Nothobranchius furzeri: one gene and its partners. The protein of the gene in region 4 purifies or fractionates together with the protein of the main gene of each other region. This does not show direct contact. Links are inferred from orthologs where the notes say so. Each region holds a gene or a part of one and is shown on either strand. Other genes may lie near its edges. The genes, in order: txnipa, smad6b, rnf11b, NEDD4-like E3 ubiquitin-protein ligase WWP1 and spartb.

Region 1 (4,190 bases), on a different chromosome or scaffold from region 4:
AATCAGATCATTTAACATTGTGCCTTTAATAGAAAACAGACCCATAGGGCTTCTTACAAAAATACTTAACGTATAAATGATACATTAAAACATTTCCACATCAGCCATTCGCTGCAGTTCTGTTTGAGCCAACAGAAAAACTACAGAACCATCACAGAAATGTTGCCTGAGACAACTGGAGCTGATGTTCTAGAAGGTGCTTTCATCAGGTCTGAGTTGCTGAATCTCTGTTTTTCCAGCAAAAAAAAAAAAAAAAAAAAAAAAAAAAAAACTGCCAATGGCAAATCTCAGAAGTAGGTTCCTGGAAACTGGAAAATAAAAGTCATTCCAACATAAAAATATTGTTCAGAGACAACCTGGTCAGCAGACGTGGAGAAAGTACAAAGTGCTACAGGAAACATGAAGAAATGGCTTCAAACATCTGGAAACATCACTCAGCATTAGAGTTCTGTAATCTTCAGGAGAATGTTGTTCCTACACCTCAACGAAACAGCAGCTCCTTAAGTCCTGACTGGAATGATTCATGAAGACATCTCAGCAGGTTGGATCCAACTCAAATGCCTCTTGGGCCTGTGGACAGGCTCTGGAAGTGATGGCTTCAGGACTCCGACCCAAACAGCTCCAGGAGGGAGATTCTGCATCAGCATGGAAGACGAAGCATGGTAACAGGCAAGTGCATTTCTGTTCAACTCTCCATCCAACATCCCATCCCATCTGGAGTTTGGACCTTCAGCTTTTTGGAAGCGCTTTAGAAGAACAATCGGAGAGGTGGACAACCCCTCCAGGATTCGGGACTTTTAGCAGACAGGAAGCATCTGAGCATTCCCCTTGTACTCCTCAGCCTGAAAAACAAAAAAACCTTGAGATGTAATGCCACATGTAGCTTGGTGCTAGCCATGGAGCTAACTGGTGTGAGACCTACCTCAGAGTAGGCTGGAGGGGATGGGAACTGGAAGCTGGGAGCGTTCATAAAGATGGGACTGTCATCACAGTCCACATCATCTAGAAGAGGCGTGAGCGGCTGGTCCAGACGGCAGTCTTTAGTGATGTCACAGTAGCTCGGGGGTTCAGCGGGCATCCTGAGGGACACCCAGCTCTGAGAGGCAGTGCTGATCGAACCCTCCTGGCTGCTCACACTGTTAGTGCGACTGCCAATCCCAGATGTCCCAATGACCAGGGGCAGCTCCAGGATAAGCTTTTCACTGCCGGGGATGTGGATGTAAATCTGGGAAACAATGAGGAACCTTAACACCATGTTCCAGGGCTAACAGAGTCCTCCCATAGGAAGCAGACTTACCATCAGGGCGTACTCCACTCGGATGATGTTGCAGCCCAGCATGGACGGTTTGATCTTCGGCACCCTGATGGTCTTCCCCTGCCAGGCGTCGCACATCCCTGAGATGATGTGGTTTCCACGCACAGAGGAAAGCTTCTGGCGGAAAACTTTGGTGCGCCCGTTAGCCTGGTATGTGTGCTTGGCTATGATGGCGGCTTTCGGGACCACAATGCGGGAGCATGTGTTCTCAAATTTGGCGTTGATGCAGATGTCTTCACCCTCGCAGAAACCACGGCGGTCAATTTTAGCGTTGAGCGACACCTGGCCATCAGGGATGAACATGCAGGTGACTTTCTTCTCCTTCATGCCGCCAGCAGGAGACTGAAGACACAGGAAGCAGTTTGTCATCACCAGAACTGTGGTGGTGTGTAAAAAGGAGCTGCTGATTGGAACCAGTCATCATGCATGATTGTCTGTTACTGAAATAAAACCATCTGCCTCTCTGGGAGCAGCTTCTGAGTCCACTTCTAAACTTCCTGCATACGCCGGTCACGTGATACCTCTTATCTACTGTATCATGGTGGAACCACGCGCGCACACGCACAGGGAAACAGTGGGGTGTTTCCCATGTAAACAGAAGATCCGAAGTGAAACCAGATCGCTCTGGTTCTGACCCACTAGTGAACTCACCAGCAGGTCCGGAGTGTTCACATCCAGAGGTTCTTCCACCTCGAAGTACTTCTTGCTCTCCACCGTGGGCTGCTGAGGTCTCTCCATCTGGGCCTTGACATAGTACTGGACGTAACCGAACTTGCCCTTGTATGACGACACCAGCTGACTGAAAGTCCAGAACGAACACAGCAGACCTGTTAAAACCCAAGGCATTACCTCTAGAGGTCAGTGATGCGTCCTAGACCCAGATGGACTGGGTCCGACTTACCCCTGCTCAGGAAGGTCGAACCCAAACGGGTACTCATACTTGTTACCGGGTCTCAGAACTACGGATCCGTCCGAGTCTGAAAGATACACAGACGGTTGTGATCAGCATGTTGCTGTGATGATGCCCCAGAGAGAATCCCCGGACCCCATGTACCTGCGGGCTGGTCGCCCAGACTCAGAACCTCCTCGTACCGAAGGTACTCGGCCTCCTGGCGGCACCGCTGCTTGCCTTTAGCGTACTCCACCTTCGCGCAGCCCAGACCCAGCAGCTTGACGGCGGACACACGGGTCACCTCGGACACCTCCACCTCGACCCGACCGCTGACCCGGTCCCCGCCGCAGTAAAACGATTTGCACGGGTCCGACAGGACGACCTGGAAGGTTTTCACTTTTTTCGTCATTGCCACCATGTTTGCGTTCTGTTTCCAACTCGCGCAGCAATGTGAGCTTTTCGCGTTACAACGCCCGAAAGTTAGACAGCTATCCCCTCCTAAACCGCTCCCTGTTCTCTGCTGTAAACAAAGACTCTGACCGTTTTATACCAGCAGCGCGTGCAGAGCATGTGCAGCTGGGACGTCCGCTGTGACTCAGCGCGTGCACATGGCTCCGATTGGTCGAAATCCTTTGTTTGTCTCGCCTCCAGCCAATCAGCAGAAGAATTCAGCGCGTGAACACTGCATGGCAGTGAGGCTGCAGCGCGTGCTGAGCTGATGTGAGCACGAAGTTTGAGACAGAAACAGAAATGCTCCTCAGTTAGTAAACAGCTCGGAACAGGCACAATACTGGGGAATAAGAGTCAATATTAAAGGATATCATTCCTGATCCGCTGCACCTGCCGCTCCAGTTCGGCTTAGACAATATTGTTAGAAAACATTTTTAGTATAAAGGACATTATAGCTGAAGGAAAAACGGTTTCAAAATTACAAAATATGAGCAGATGGTTGAAAAAGCAGATAGATGGACAGTAATGCTGTGATGTAGATAACGTCCTGAACAGCCTCTGTTCAGAAAAATAGTTCAGGAGCAGTGGCGGTCACAGGGAGCGCTGGGGTGCCACCCTACCAGTCTCACAGGGAGATGAAGAAGAAGATAGAAATCCTAACATACTTTTAAAACACCCTGAAAATTCCATGAAATGATCTATAATTATACAGAGTATAAGTGCTCTGTTTATTCTGCATTTAAGTGTGGTTTAAAAATGTCCTCTGGAGGCTGATTCATGCTTCTCCGTCAGCTCCGCAAGGGACAGACACACACGGATTGACGGAAGTGTTTTGCTCTCATACTTCTTCGTCTCCTGGGAAGTGTTGCAAAGCAATTCCCCGTCAGGACAACAGAGGGCGTAGCGCTGTTCTGTGGTATCCTGTCATGTATCCAGTCCAACATAGTGTGTTTATATTGTGTTTTTTGTAAATAAGAGACTTTTTAACACGACAAATTTGTCTCTCATTCTCCTCCACCTCTTCATGCGCTCGCCACCTCTAAACCCACGTTTCCTGTCATTTCCGTCCACAAATAAAATGCTTGCTGCGTAACTTTTCACTCCTCCAGTCACGGGGCAATTAAACGTTCATATTTTAGAGTTTTTTCGCGAGGTATTCTTCAAGCTTCTCCGTGTCTGCCACTAGTTATTCTCGGCTTTCTTTATGATTTTGAGGGCGCAATGGCGGCGGTGTAGACGACAGTGGTGCCCTGACCAATCACAAGCTTGCGTTCTCCGTCTCGTTTGACGTATGTTTAAAAAAGTTGGCTCGACTCCGTACGTACTTGCGTGCCTGCCGGGGCCCTACGCAAGGACGGATAATGACGTTGCGTGTCTCCGCACTGACGCAGAAGGAGAAGCATGAATCAGCCTTTAGTCTTACCACGACCGAAAGGTCGTGTGATGCATTTCCTGTTTCTTTGGGGAGCAGAAATCTTTAAAATAGACTTATGGTAGTTGGGGCATGCACACTGGATCCCCCTCTTACACAAA
Region 2 (3,515 bases), on a different chromosome or scaffold from region 4:
CTTCCCTGTTTAGGAACAGCAGAGAGAAAACTAGGGGTACAAATGAGGTCAAGTTTGGAAAACACCCCTCAGAGGGAGGGGTATTTTATTTCTCGAGGCCCTAACGCCGAGCGTGTTGTGACCAATGTGCTGTGATCAGACCCGGCCTGTGCGAATAGCGATACAGTTGGAAGAAACCAAAGCCTTGCACATCTAGATCCTCCCTCACCAGAATCTCTGAGGAATTGTGGTGCGCGCTCTGACAAGCCCCTCATTTGTTGACTCAGGGAGTGTCGTCGGGCCATGCTGAGGTGGTGACAGTCTGTGTGAGTGGGAGGGGAGGAGGTGGAAGGGGCTTCTGCTGACTGAATACTTCTTAGCAAGGTAGCAACCGTTCAGCTTCCAGGCCCGTGAGTCGTGGCAGACCCTTTTAACAGGGAGAGGCTAGTCCATGCATACTCCACTATAAGGGCTCTGACTGAACACATGATACCCTAGCATGAAGTTGGGGGGTGTGGGGCCATGCTCACCATGAGGAAAGAGGATGAGAGTGTTTCCACTTGCTTCTTTTGGTGTGACCACATTCACAGCAGCGGCCATATTCCGAACCCCTCCCTTTGTTCTCTTTTAAGCTAGGCTACATACGAGTAAAGGTTTAGGTGTAAGCGTGTGTGCTTCTGAGCAATCTTGGATCTCATTACAGTTTCAAATATTTCTGAAAAAATAAAATAATACTGAAAAAATGGGGACGCCGCCTGTGCTGGAGCCAATGCCGACGCCCCTCTTTAAAAACCTCTAGTCACAATCAGACCTTTATTTCACAACATCAATGCGTTTGTGATGCTCCAGAACTTCAGAATTTAACTTTGCACAGCACATCATCTTTTATGAGAGGATATAATTTTTTATACATTTCAACACAAGACTGAAGGATTATTTCAAAACTATGATTTATAGCAATATTCACTCTGTCTCCTAAATGGAAATACCCTTAATTTAAAGCTAAATACTCAAACCCACAAAAAGTTCTAAGTTTGAAGAACTGCATGGAATCAAAGGACATAATTATCTAGAAATTAAAACGTATTATTTAGCTATAACTTTATTCTGAGAGGAAAATAAAGTGTATAATGTATTTTTATAAATGTTTTGCAAATATCAGTCCTTCCTACGTTAAATAAGCACACAAATGCTAGTTAGTTGATCATTTTACCAGCCCCTTTGCATCAGCCAGCATGAGTGCATGTTTTGACTCCAGAACCTGTGTAAACATCACCATTCACTGAGAACAACCATGCAGACAGCAGCTGACCATTCAAACCGTATATTTCTAAAGACAAAAGCCGTTTCTGCCCACTATGTTTACATTTCTCAGGCTGATGTTCTTGTTTGACAAATTACCTCAGTATTTACCAAACCGGCTGCTCTGGGTTGATAACCTTTTTCAGTAATCATTAATCTCTACTTTGGTTCAGAAACATTTGGAAGACCTTGTTTTGAGGCCAAGAACAGTTGTAAAAACACACCCACCTGAAAACTCCCCCGGTGTGATGTTTGGTGAGCTGGCTGCCTCGCTTTCAGTGTAAGACAAAGTGGAGTCAGACAGATCTGCAGGGAATGACACAGAAATCAGCTCCTGATCAAGTGGTCATGCCAAAATGTTTCCCCAGTACTTTTAGAACCAGCTGATGACCCCTGATGGCAACCCCTGTTCACTTTTCATTCCAATATAATAGGATTTTTTTTTTATTCTAAACAATAAACCCCACCAAAGGCTTCACCACACAGTTAATGACCTCGTAACCTCACTGGCAGACTTTTAAGTGTTGACATCCTCTCAAACACAGCCAGAAACTTTAAACTGTACTCAGGCTTTTGATCCAGTAGTCTCCCACTACAAACAGCTACAACCAAAACCATTCAAACCAACTGACTGTAGTGGTCCAAACAAAAGATAAACATTTGAGCTAAATTATTGATAAATAAAGGTAAGAGATATGCATTATAATTAGTCCAAGTGACTTTGAGACCCAACCTGTGGAGATTATTTCCCTAAATTCAAAGAGATGGAAGTACTCACTATATATATATATATATATATATATATATATATATATATATATATATATATATATTTTTTTTTTTTTTCAGTCCTTCCAATTTGCTTCAGTCTGGTTTTGCGATTACAAAAACCAAACTCTCAACAACATGTGAGTACAGGACTGGCAAAGATGGTTTCTAAGCAGGACATATTCTGGGAATCACAATCTTCCTTGAGAGTATAGTTATTACCAGATTTCACTTATAAACAGTGTTTTCTTTTTAATGGTCATGCATTTAAGAAAATAAGTTGTGTTTACCAGATCCTCCAAGCAGCAAAGAACACCTCCGCAACTGCTTACTGCTGGGTGTTCTTGTTATATAAGTGGTGCTTTTTTACTCCAGACATGATTCATGGATATAAATTGTTTTTAACTGATCTATAAAAATATTATCAGGTACCTAAAAGTGTGTTCAGCTTTTTTTCTCCAACTGTAATTCAACCTGTGCACACTTTTTTATTTAAAGGTGTGGGAAACCCATTTAATCGATTTGTTTGCAGTGGTTTCTAGTAGGAATTAATGCCTTGTAAGTCATACCCTGGGGGGAAAATATACCGGGGCACCATTTTCAGGAACTAGTTGTTAACCACATCATAGCTGAGCTTTAGACAATGGTCTTATTTCCTGATATTTGAACATCTCGCTCCGGATTGGATAACAGCAACGCGACTCTTTCACTCACTTCAAAGTTTATGTTTTATCTCCACAAATAACAGCATGGAGGTTTTCTGCTGTGTAGTGGTGTTGCTAATGCTAATGGTTAGCTTCTACTTGCATGCTAATGGTTAGCTTCTACTTGCTAAGATGTTATCCGCTGTTTCCTGGACGCTAAACCCACAACACCATTCCCCATCACGAGTCACGATGGGTGAGTCCATTAATACTTAGTGATATTGTGATGTAGATCTGTCGAGCTTTTCAAAACCAGGATTTTCACCAAACCATCACTGTCAGAGGCTAATGCAGGAGATAAGTGTAGGAGACTGTCATGTTCAGCCTGCATGAAAAACTCAGAGCGACTGATTATAATCTGGAATAATTATTTTAAAAATGTGTTTTAAGTGTTCCACACCTTAAAGTCTTTGCACTCTTCCAAATTAAACAAGCATGATCAATTAAAAAAACATTCATAACCACATAAAATACATGGAAAGACTTCAAATGTAACAGAGTTTATTATTGTTTTTGTCTCTTACCCAGTGGCTTGTGTTCTTCGTTAGGGGAAAGCCTTGAATATGGAGGAGGAGGTGACTCTGCACACAAAACAGTAATATAAATATCCAAATTACACAATGAAAAGTCTTCTGTAAATCAAAATCTTCAGTTAAACAGAGCAGAATAAAGCAGGACGTTAAAGAATGTCGGATGAAGACTTCTAGCTCTGCTTCTTTGCGTACTAAACTGTAAAGACTTGTGTTCTGACAAGACAAACTT
Region 3 (3,144 bases), on a different chromosome or scaffold from region 4:
GTTAATATTGATTGTGAATCGATTTAAATCGATTTCGAATCGAATCGGCACCCTGAGAATCGGAATCGAATCAAATTGTGAGTTGCTCTGAGATTCACATCCCTAGAAAGTACACACTGCTGTAATGCAAAAATTGTTTTTTTCTAAATCACTTTAAAGTAAGAGTGAGCAGTTTTCTGCTCCTCCATCCTACTGGTTGAAAGTACGATAACAACTGTTGTAAACAACCCAACTGTAGCTAGCACTAATAACAAGCTAACACAAATTTGACCTAACTAATGCTAAAATAAACCATGAAATAAAAAGATCCACACTGTAGGACAAAAAATATTTATAAATACTTATAAATCCAGTAGCAACAAAGCCAGGTCACAATCAGTCCGTGATTTTGTAGCATCCTTTAGCTCCCTCAAACTAGTGTAGGCCATGCTTATGTTAACTCTGGTTGTAGCTCTTTGCTTCATATCAAGAGACATTACTCTTACTTTTACTTCCAGGCTCTGCCATGATGCCAACAGAAAAAGCAAACTTCTTCTTTTTCTGCTTTATATTGATGATTGGCAAACTGAAAATGCTAACCACTAACATTACAGCTAACAGCCATAAAGAAGGTAAAGAGCGCCTCCTAGGACACCTACCTGCTCCACTAAACTATTAAGTGCGGTTTTTGGTCAGCGGAGGGCCGCAGAGTGTTGTCAAAAGCCAGTTTCACATTTGGCCCAGGCTGGGTGGCTCCAGATCAGGGTCCTGCACCGGTAGGTTTTGTTCACACATTCTTTTTAGGAATGTGGAAATCTCAGAGCACATGGGCAGGGAAAAGATGCACTGAGAAATCTGTGATGCCTCCCTTAAGTTAAGTAAACAAAGCGTTGCTTTTGCATTCTCTGACTCTGATATTGCATCCTGACTGCTGTCTGTCCTCGCGCAGGGCAGCATGCAAGCCTCCACAGCGCTCCCTGTGTGTGTGCTCTTCACAGCACGTCTCAGTGACAGAGACAGAGAGCTCCTGCAGCTTCAGTCAGAGGCAGTGTTTACTCCTCAGTTTCCAGAATGATAATGAATCCCACATGCGGAAGCCCCTGCTGGCTGATTTGTCTTTGTCAGTCAGAGGCTTCCCTTAATGGTAGGCATGAATTTGAGCCAGTCAGTCGGTCTGCAGAGGTTGTGTTGGGTCAGTTCAGCCCAAAGCAGCCCGCCTGGGGAAGAGGGCTGAAAATATGGTCGGTGGAGCACGAAAAAAAATACAGGCTACCCAGATGTGAACACAATATACCATACCTGGGCCGGACCGACCCTGATGTGAAAACGGCAAAGCTGGTTAAGTTTACTAAGATAAATGTTAAAGCTTTAGCTTAAAGTAAAATCTTTTTTTTTTTAGTAATTTTCATTTTGATACACCAGAGAAGTCATTGAGATAGGTCTTGTGCATTGAGGAGAGTTTACGATGGTATGTTCTCACCTCTGCAGGTGCGTCATCTGTATGATGGACTTTGTTTATGGAGACCCCATCCGGTTCCTGCCCTGCATGCACATCTACCACCTGGACTGTATAGACGACTGGCTGATGAGATCCTTCACCTGCCCCTCCTGCATGGAGCCTGTGGACGCTGCGCTGCTCTCCTCCTACGAGACCAACTGACACAAGCACCCCCTGGACCACACAGGACCTGAACAAATCCATGGACACTCTAAATACACTAAACATCAACTTCCCCAACTTATATCCTGGATTAGTAAGATGGTGATTTCAAAGCATTGATCGTAAAATAACGTAGGATGAATAATGTTTGTGCATAAAAATTTATAATTATAAATATATGTACGGTGTGTGTGTGTGTACACCATTTCCTCAGTTGGCCTGCTGGACAGGACTGCATCTGAGAAAGGACAGGAGGAATAAAGAACAAGAGCAGGGAGGAGAGAGGAGTCAAAGATGAGTGCAGAAAGCCCGGGTGTGTGCATGAAGCGAGCGACAGAGAAGCAGCTGGAACCTGTGAATATTAACTATCATGACTGAGAAATATTTTTATGTTCTGTTTTCAAATTTGGCACACACACACACACACACACAAACAGAAGCATACTCCCTTCCTTTTACTTTCATTACAAGAATGCAGATTGTTTTTCTCTGTCTGTTGGTAAGTGAAAACTTTCATAACCGAAGGAAAAGTTGATTGGTAGTTGTATTTCCTAAGAAACTGTTACAGGGTTGTTGTAGACGAGACTAGTAGAGACGAACACACAACATAGTAGCACAGACTACCAGGCTCCCTCCGTCTTCTGCACACCTACCTTGACTTGTCTCTGCAGATCTTTCCTGTGAAACGTTAGCTGAATGGTCGCTGTGTCGATTGGCTGTTCTGTGGCTTTGTGAAATCTGTTCTTTAGTTATTTTGCAAATCAACATAAGGACTTCGTGTTGAATCGGTTTACCAAAAACACAGACTCAGCAAAAGGAAGTATGTGCTTCACTCATTCATGTGATGATGCTAAAATTATCACTGATGAGATCTCAGACTACAGGCCAAAGCAAAAAGTCAACAGATGAGCGACACTTTGATCAGAATTTGAAATTTGCAGTACTTAAAGGGATTTTTCAGCTGTTTTTAAGTAGGTTCCTGTGTAAAAGTTTTAAAGAATTACTGACAGAACTAGTTAGTACAGTCAAGAACAAAGTGCACTCTCAGAAATCTAATGTTGAATTTACTTAACCAAGTTATGTCAACTGGTTCCACTAAACCTATTACTTAAAGACCAAGTTCATTGAGAAACTGTTGTTTACTTGTTAGTTTTGAAATATGATTAGTCACTCTTGAGTTTCACATGCAGGCTTATTGTGAAAATAGTCTTCTACCCTTGTTTCCTGCATTAGCCACCAATAAAAAAGATGAAAATACTAGGATTAGACAAGCTCAGATCAACTTCACACTGTCACTTAACATCCGTCATGACTCGCGACGGCTGTAGACGTTTAGTGTCCAGGGAATGGTAGAGAATATCTCGGCTAGTAGAAGCTAACTATTAGCATTAGCAACTTTACCGCATGGGAAAACTCCTCCAGGCTTGTGTTATTTGTGGAGATGAAACATCCGTGTTACAACGTAAACTGAGTGAGTCGAGGAGATTAGATGTCAGAATATCAGA
Region 4 (3,515 bases):
GGTTTTTATTCCAACAATTTGAGAGCTAATAAGATTTATATCTTTATAACATAAAGAAAAGCATCAGTTTAATCATTCTGTCTCTAAAATCCTCAGTAAACAAAAGAGCTCTAAATGAAGTGACATCAATTTGATCAGCTGAAGAAACCAGTGGGAAAAGCCTGATGACATCAGTGTTGAATGCCCTGAAAACCTGGTCGATGCTGACAGCACGGGTATCTTACCCTGGTGGTAAAGGATCTGAGGCTGCAGCGTTGGGCGTCTGCTGCCTGGGCTTCACGCCATCTGTAGTCACAGCTGTGCCATTACTACTGCTGCCTCCCACACTTCCTGAAGCACTTGTGTCACCCGCGGCTGGAGAGGAAGAGGACGAAGATGAAGATGTTGTGACGGTGGTGGCCCCCTGGGCTGGAGAGGCATGTGTAGTGGAAGCAGCAGTGCCGTTGGCGGGTTTAGCAGCAACAGAGGTGGCTGGAGAAGGGGTGGAGGCTAGCTGAGATGTGCTCGCTGGGGCCGTTTCAGCATCTGGATTGCAGTCCTCGTGGTCATCAACAGGGGGCGGCGCGTCACCTCTTGTTGCAGAAGGTTCCCTTAGAACAGCCTCGGCGGATTCCCCATTTACTGCAGACAGTAAAACCAACACTGAACGGGGCAGTCTGAGGAGAAGCGAGAAAGCGCTCCAGCTTTGATTTTATTAATTTTACCTTCATCATTTTTTGACATAAGTGCGTATATATAAGCACTTGTTACTAAACACAGTGCTGAATAATTTAGACATGCATTATTAGTGTAAAATCTGACGCAGCATCATTTAGAGAACACCTCCAGAACATTGTCACAACCCAAAGATGAGGTCAGACAACCTACTTCAGTGTTTACGTATAAAAGCAGCTTTATTTATTAGGATTTAACCTCTTTTCATCGGTTTAATCCAGAGCAGCTCTGCTTTCCTCCCTTCTGTCTCCTGCGAGTTGGGACAAAGGTGCTGACAGCAGCAGGCTGCAGGCTTCACTTAATGAAAATTAATCTACTGCTCCTCTTTACCATTCACCACAAGCCTGTGAGTCATGAAGAACAAAAACCCAGCAAACCAGAGACCTACCTGCGAGGCTAAGCGCACGTCACCCAAGACCTGCAGCAAATATCACCTCATTTATCCACAGGGTTGATGTGAGCAGACTCTCATCCGACGCTAAACATTATCAGTAAATATTCTGGCTTTGCATCAACTGAACATAAAATAAAGAAGCAAGCCGTGTCTCTGCTGTCTGAGGGCTGCAGGAACCCAGCTGATGCGTCAAGAGAGGAGAGCTCACCTAGTCTGGTCTCCGTCTCTCTGTCCGAGGGCTGGTGCACTGGGGTGGAGTTGGGTGTTGTGTCCCCGTTGAGGGTGTGATCAGGAGCAGGGCTGCAGGAGCTGGAAGGCACCTGACCCTCCGCACCACTGGTGGCTGAACAGGAACCTGACCTTTGACCCAAGTCTGTCCCGTTCACTGTGCTGTAGGAGGAGGGAAACGTTAAAGCACTGAGCTGTTCTGATTCCTGCTTTAGGTTTGTAACCATCTACCCTGAGAAAGCAGAAAGATGTCCTTGAGGAAACACCACCACAGGCTCTCTGACTATTTTAGAATACTTTTTTAGATAATTTTTTTAAAGTTTGACAGCATTTTCAAAAACTGGAACAGATAAAAGTTCAGCATGTATAAAGCAGTGTTTCCCATCAACACTGTCAGGTTGCTTTGTGGTGAACGGACACCCTCCTGGTGAGACCACTGTTGGGCTGGGCTGAAACGAGGATGCAGACGTAACGAGCACAGCTGAAAGAGCCTCTTTGTAAACCCAAAGAGTTCAGTTAGTGCCAGGGATGTGCAGCCAGACAGGTGAAAACAAAACCCACCACAACATTCAGCCCTTTAATGGGAGGTCACGCTGAAAATCCACCTGTAAATCTTCACTTGTCTCCAAATTCGATTCGATTACGATTATTGGGCCAATGACTCAATTTTTCCATTCTTTCCACGATCTCAGGATGCCTCTCTGACATAAAACATCGGATGGACACCAACTTCCTCAAATTGAACTGCTCCAAAACAGAATTCATCATCACTGGTCCCAAATCTCCCCTACAGTCAGTTCTAAATATTTCTCTACAAATTGACGGTCTCACAGCGACTCCCTCCTCTACAGTCCGCAATCTCAGCGTCATCTTCGACTCCTCCCTTTCCTTCAAGTCCCACATCAACAACATCCACAGGGTATCGTTCTTCCACCTCCGCAACATTGCCCGTCTCCGTCCATCCCTCACTGACTCCACTGCCCAAACACTCATCTTTGCCTTCATAACCTCTGGACTGGACTATTGTGACAGCATTCTTTACGGACGTCCTTCCTCAGCCCTACAAAAACTTCAATACATCCAAAACTCAGCAGCACGTTTACTCACCCACACTCGCTCCAGGGACCACATAACTCCAGTACTCACACAACTTCACTGGCTCCCAGTTTCATACCGGATCCATAACAAATTGCTCCTCATCACTTACAAATGCCTCAATAACCTTGCACCATCCTATCTGACTGAACTTCTCCATCGCCATTCTCCTTCCCGGCACCTCCGTTCTGCTGACTCCAACCTCCTTTCCCCTTTTAAAACAAAACAACGTACCATGGGGGATCGAGCCTTTGCAGCCGCTGCCCCCACACTTCAGAACTTTCTCCCATTAAACTTCAGGAATGCCGTCTCTCTTTCTACTTTTAAGTCACTGCTTAAAACCCACCTCTTTAAAATGGCCTTCCTTTAGGATCAACCCAGCATCCCCCAGTCTGTTTAATATGTTTAATTTTGTTTTATTGTGTTTATTGCATTTTTTTGTGAAGCGCCTTTAAGTGACCTAAAAGGCGCTATATAAGTTTGATGTATTATTATTATTATTGTTGTTATTAATTTGATTTGATATCCCGATGCATCGCGATGATTTCATATGGATGTTTTCATCAATAAATACATGTCAGATGATTGCTTTTTTAAATAAAAATGTGTCTTGGCACAACCTGCTACCCCCCAAAAGTTCTCCATTCACAACAGTCCTTCGGACAGTGTGAAAGCGCCAAACAGTTTAAACATTTAAGATTTAACAAAGTAAATAATCTGTTTCCTCACTCAACAGTCACACCTCAGGCTGAGAAAAACATGCTTTGCAAATGCTCAAAAATCTGAAAATATACTAAAAACCTATAGGACAGTCCAATTATTGCCTTAAATTTAAGATATAAAATCCATAATGGGTCCATATATTAGCTTTTAATGTTGGAGAATTAATCAAGTTCTGTTTAATGCAGAAAATAATAAAAAACATTAATAAAATCCTAAACTTCCAGTGTTATTTGAGACGTTTGTTTTATTCTTGCCGATAACACCAGCAGGAGGCTGTGGGCTGGACTAGGATCAAATGACCCAGCTGATGGATCTCCTTCACTAACCAGCCAACTACAACCGCTTGGCTGTGGGACTTTTA
Region 5 (4,107 bases), on a different chromosome or scaffold from region 4:
TTGGCACTGTGTGCAGGTGCCAAGTCCTGTTGAAAGGTGAAGTCTGCATCCCCATAAAGTTGGTCAGCAGCAGGAAGCATGAAGTGCTCTAAAACTTCCTGGTAGATGGCTGCATTGACCCTGGACCTCAGGAAACAGAGTGGGCCAACACCGGCAGATGACATGGCACCCCACACCATCACTGACGGTGGAAACTTTACACTGGACCTCATGCAACGTGGATTCTGTGCTTCTCCGCTCTTCCTCCAGACTCTGGGTCCTTGATTTCCAAAGGAAATGCAGAACTTGCTTTCATCAGAAAACATAACTTTGGACCACTCAGCATCAGTCCAGTCCTTTTTGTCCTTGGCCCAGGCGAGACGCTTCTTGCGCTGTTTCTTGTTCAAGAGTGGCTTGACACACGGAATGCGACACCTGAATCCCATGTCTTTCATGAGTCTCCTCGTGGTGGTTCTTGAAGCGCTGACTCCAGCTGCAGTCCACTCTTTGTGGATCTCCCCCACATTTTTGAATGGGTTTGTCGTCACAATTCTCTGCAGGGTGCGGTTATCCCTAGAGCTTGTACACTTTTTTCTACCACATTTTTTCCGTCCCTTCGCCTGTCTGTTAATGTGCTTGGACACAGAGCTCTGCGAACAGCCAGCTTCTTTAGCAATCACCTTTTGTGTCTTGCCCTCCTTGTGCAAGGTGTCAATGATTGTCTTTTGGACAGCTGTTAAGTCAGAAGTCTTCCCCATGATTGTGGTGCCTTCAAAACAAGACTGAGGGACCTTTTAAAGGCCTTTGCAGGTGTTTTGAGTAAATCAGCTGATTAGAGTGGCAGCAGGTGTCTTCTATATTCAGCCTTTTCAGAATATTCTAATTTTTTGAGATACCAAATTTGGAGTTTTCATTAGTTGTCACTTATGAATATCAAATTTAAATGTAATGAACATTGGAAATACATTGGTCTGTGTGCATTGCATGAATATAATGTACAAGTTTCACGTTTTGAATGGAATTACTGAAATATTTTCAACCTTTTGATGATATTCTAATTTACTGGCCAGCACCTGTATCAACGTTGTTCAAATTGTTGCTGCTGACTAAAATCCGGCTCCAAATAAAACCAAAGGAATCATGACTCATGATTTCTTTTTCTATCTTTAAACACACCTAATCCTGATTCCCGAGAGGATGACATCAGTGTCTACAGGATTAGGGACGAGATAAACTACTCCCAAATGATGGGTGTTCATAGGGCGAGAGAAGTGGATAACAGACAAGACTACCTCCTCCCACTGTTGCAGTCTGAGATCTTAAGCATGCCTCACAGAATCAGGTTAAAGGGAAACGGCTAGAGTCAGGCCAGCAGTGGTGACATTTTTTAAGCACTTATTGCATCAGGCAGACACATGTTTGGCTAATTAGTGCTTCCTGTCATACCTGCAGAAATGCTGGTGGTCGATCAGGCATCCTGTCAGACTGATCGCTGGTAAACTTCACCAGACGAAGGTAGCCCGGATATGATGGGGCGCTTACGTGGCCCTCAGGTGTGACGTAGAAGATCTGGACGCCATGAGGAATGTACAGTAACTCCTGCCCATCCTCGTCCATGCCCTGAGGAGATGGCGTTGAGTGAGATGTACGGTTGTAGAACTCATCCCTAACCAGTGACATTTCCCCTGAATCTGTCCCGTAGGAGACAGATATGTGGCCTTGAGCTGCCTGAGGAGAATAAGCTGGAGGCTGCTCAGCTGGACCCACGGGTGGACAGTTCACAGCTACGCCTCCTACAGCTCCAGCAAGCAGGATTGGTAGAGTCGGTCTCTCTGGCTTCTCTTTGAAGTGGAGCTTTGGGTACAGACCTTCTGCATCCTGTGCGGGTGCAGCTTCACCATCAGAGCAGGTCTCCAGGATGGCGAGGCGGGTGGTGATGTTGTTCAGCGTCTCCTGCATCTTATGCTGCATCTGTCTGGCCGATTCCCAGGAGCTACCATGACACTCGTCTCCCGTCGAAGGCACACTGATGGCCCTGATGAGGTGCTGTCGGCCCCGCTTGTAGAACTCCAGGGCCTGTGTCTTGTCTCCAGCTTCATCTGCTGTTAGTCCTTTGTTGATGCACTCAAAAGCACTCTCATAGCCATCGTTGATCAACTGAAGTCTGGCGTTATCAAAGGCATCTTGTTTAGCCTTCTCCATCCCCCTTGCAAAGTAAAATCTGATTAATTTTAGACAGCTGTTCTATATTTAATCGCAACAACCAACAAGGTAAATAAATAGAACTTTAATGCTAACTGTAGTTAGCTCAACTTTCTAAAGTTCATTTATAATTTACGCAAACTGCTCGTCTGATGAACAAAACGTGTTTAACTGGATCAAAGCATAGGTAACAGTCAGATTTACACGTGTTTGTTGTGCTGTAGTCGGATGGAGCATTGAGCTAATTCTGATTAAATAAATAAATAAACAAAAATAGCTAACGTTCCTGTACAGACAAGATGAGTTGTTATTGCATATTTTCAATGTTACAGCGAACAGAAATAATCTAAATAACACAGAAAACTCCTGATATCAACAGTTTGTTTGGCTTACCTCAGTGAGTTACAAAAGAACAGCAAGTTAGCTAGTAGCTGTTTGTTAGCAAACAATTCTTCCAGATTCAGAATGCCTTCTCTCCGAGACTTCCCTCCTACACTGAGCAGACTGCGTCAGACGGTTTCTAAATGCTACACGCTGTAGGGTGAGTTTACAAAGCACACTCGTGACCTTTCAAAACAACACTTTGACCGGAAGAACGCATGTTTGACGCAGGCGACAAATGTTAGCGCTAAACTTAGCTTTGCTTTTATTGTGAAAGTATGCACCGGAAAAGTAATTATACTGCTACTGGGGCTTGACTTTTTAATTCTTGCCATTTGTTATTGTTACCACAGGAGGGCAGTGTGGGACAATTCAAAACACACTATGCATGAGTAGCCCCCGATGGTAGCCCCTGACTGCAGTACGCAGATTGGGGCGGGGCGCAAGATTGCATCGGCCGCTTGTCCGGTGCGTCCAAATGGAAACGCAACACTACACAAAGTCAATGGGTATCAAACTAAATAAACACTCATTGAAAGCAAAAATGTAAGTGAACAATCACACTGATAAATTAGTTGTTTAACTTTCAGCTTGTTTCGTCGCTTGAAGGCTGCTGCTGAATCAACCCTTGTATAAGTATATTGTGTCTAAGAGAGCCGTAGCTAGCATTTGCCTCCCTCTAGCGGTCATTATTTATAACTGCAACCAAGTCATTTAATCAAGTTGTTTTTCTAACAATATGTACAATATCCGGTTAATACTTTCAAAATAAACCTCAAAATCTCCGATAACAGAAATCACTTTACTGTAGTTTTCTGCCCAAATCAAATATGGAAGTTGTAAAGTGCCGATGCACATAGCTAACGGGATTGATTGGAGAGCTTTTTGAAGAAAATAAAATTAAAAAATTTAATCTATTTGAGTGAGAGTTAAACACGATCAACATGGAGTTGCTAAAGAAAAACAGCTATCAAAGCTTTTCATAATTATTTGCTTACAGCGACTAACTGTTAAGTTAGTCCAAATTCAGTTTTCTTTTATTTTTCAATTCCTAGAGATTTTAGAATTTCTACAATATTTTTACATATTTTGTAACTAATTAAGTTCATTTTATATTTCAGTTTTACAAAACTAATCTCTAAATTATTCTGTGGCACATTCACATGCAGGTTTGATTACTAACAACACTGATTAATTTCTTGTGTTCCTTCTTCTATTTTCTTTTATTAATTCTTTTAAAGATGCATTCATACACATATTTGCATTATTTTTATTACCACTGATTACTTTATTACACGACTTTTATGATTTCCTTAAATTTAAATTTTTGCCAGTTATGAGCTACTGATTGTTTAGGTCTTCCATTTTTGATAACATTTTTGCTCTAAAGCTTTAATTTTCCCTTACATATATTATAGGGTTTTGTTTATTTTGTTCTTTTTGCAACACTTTTCCAGTCCACGTAGTTTACTGCATTTACTCCTTTAAGCTGACTTCTTTTCACATAATCTCCATACAGATAGCACATACAGGTACATGCAGTCC

Evidence for each region.
Region 1: the proteins of NEDD4-like E3 ubiquitin-protein ligase WWP1 (region 4) and txnipa purify together in Homo sapiens (affinity purification with mass spectrometry; 4 studies listed by BioGRID and IntAct, counting the BioPlex papers as one, with this or other methods). This does not show direct contact. The link is inferred for Nothobranchius furzeri from reciprocal best matches to the Homo sapiens genes WWP1 and TXNIP.
Region 2: the proteins of NEDD4-like E3 ubiquitin-protein ligase WWP1 (region 4) and smad6b purify together in Homo sapiens (affinity purification with western blotting; 3 studies listed by BioGRID, with this or other methods). This does not show direct contact. The link is inferred for Nothobranchius furzeri from reciprocal best matches to the Homo sapiens genes WWP1 and SMAD6.
Region 3: the proteins of NEDD4-like E3 ubiquitin-protein ligase WWP1 (region 4) and rnf11b purify together in Homo sapiens (affinity purification with mass spectrometry; 3 studies listed by BioGRID, with this or other methods). This does not show direct contact. The link is inferred for Nothobranchius furzeri from reciprocal best matches to the Homo sapiens genes WWP1 and RNF11.
Region 5: the proteins of NEDD4-like E3 ubiquitin-protein ligase WWP1 (region 4) and spartb purify together in Homo sapiens (affinity purification with mass spectrometry; 5 studies listed by BioGRID and IntAct, counting the BioPlex papers as one, with this or other methods). This does not show direct contact. The link is inferred for Nothobranchius furzeri from reciprocal best matches to the Homo sapiens genes WWP1 and SPART.

What each region holds. Positions count from the first base shown.
Region 1 is NC_091751.1:26,063,958-26,068,147, forward strand, and holds txnipa (thioredoxin interacting protein a), read right to left. Parts: upstream 2,810-4,190; 5' UTR 2,626-2,809; coding exon 2,370-2,625; intron 2,293-2,369; coding exon 2,217-2,292; intron 2,115-2,216; coding exon 1,967-2,114; intron 1,658-1,966; coding exon 1,298-1,657; intron 1,226-1,297; coding exon 923-1,225; intron 843-922; coding exon 798-842; 3' UTR 240-797; downstream 1-239. UniProt on the Homo sapiens protein: May act as an oxidative stress mediator by inhibiting thioredoxin activity or by limiting its bioavailability.
Region 2 is NC_091744.1:65,938,480-65,941,994, forward strand, and holds part of smad6b (mothers against decapentaplegic homolog 6b), read right to left. Parts: intron 3,335-3,515; coding exon 3,278-3,334; intron 1,588-3,277; coding exon 1,510-1,587; intron 1-1,509. UniProt on the Homo sapiens protein: Transforming growth factor-beta superfamily receptors signaling occurs through the Smad family of intracellular mediators. SMAD6 is an inhibitory Smad (i-Smad) that negatively regulates signaling downstream of type I transforming growth factor-beta.
Region 3 is NC_091748.1:56,811,060-56,814,203, reverse strand, and holds part of rnf11b (RING finger protein 11b), read left to right. Parts: intron 1-1,467; coding exon 1,468-1,639; 3' UTR 1,640-3,144. UniProt on the Homo sapiens protein: Essential component of a ubiquitin-editing protein complex, comprising also TNFAIP3, ITCH and TAX1BP1, that ensures the transient nature of inflammatory signaling pathways. Promotes the association of TNFAIP3 to RIPK1 after TNF stimulation.
Region 4 is NC_091747.1:36,676,236-36,679,750, forward strand, and holds part of NEDD4-like E3 ubiquitin-protein ligase WWP1, read right to left. Parts: intron 1,499-3,515; coding exon 1,317-1,498; intron 622-1,316; coding exon 225-621; intron 1-224. UniProt on the Homo sapiens protein: E3 ubiquitin-protein ligase which accepts ubiquitin from an E2 ubiquitin-conjugating enzyme in the form of a thioester and then directly transfers the ubiquitin to targeted substrates.
Region 5 is NC_091753.1:42,875,659-42,879,765, forward strand, and holds the start of spartb (spartin b), read right to left. Parts: upstream 2,808-4,107; 5' UTR 2,575-2,807; intron 2,201-2,574; exon of another isoform or gene 2,186-2,200; 5' UTR 2,182-2,185; coding exon 1,426-2,181; intron 1-1,425. UniProt on the Homo sapiens protein: Lipophagy receptor that plays an important role in lipid droplet (LD) turnover in motor neurons.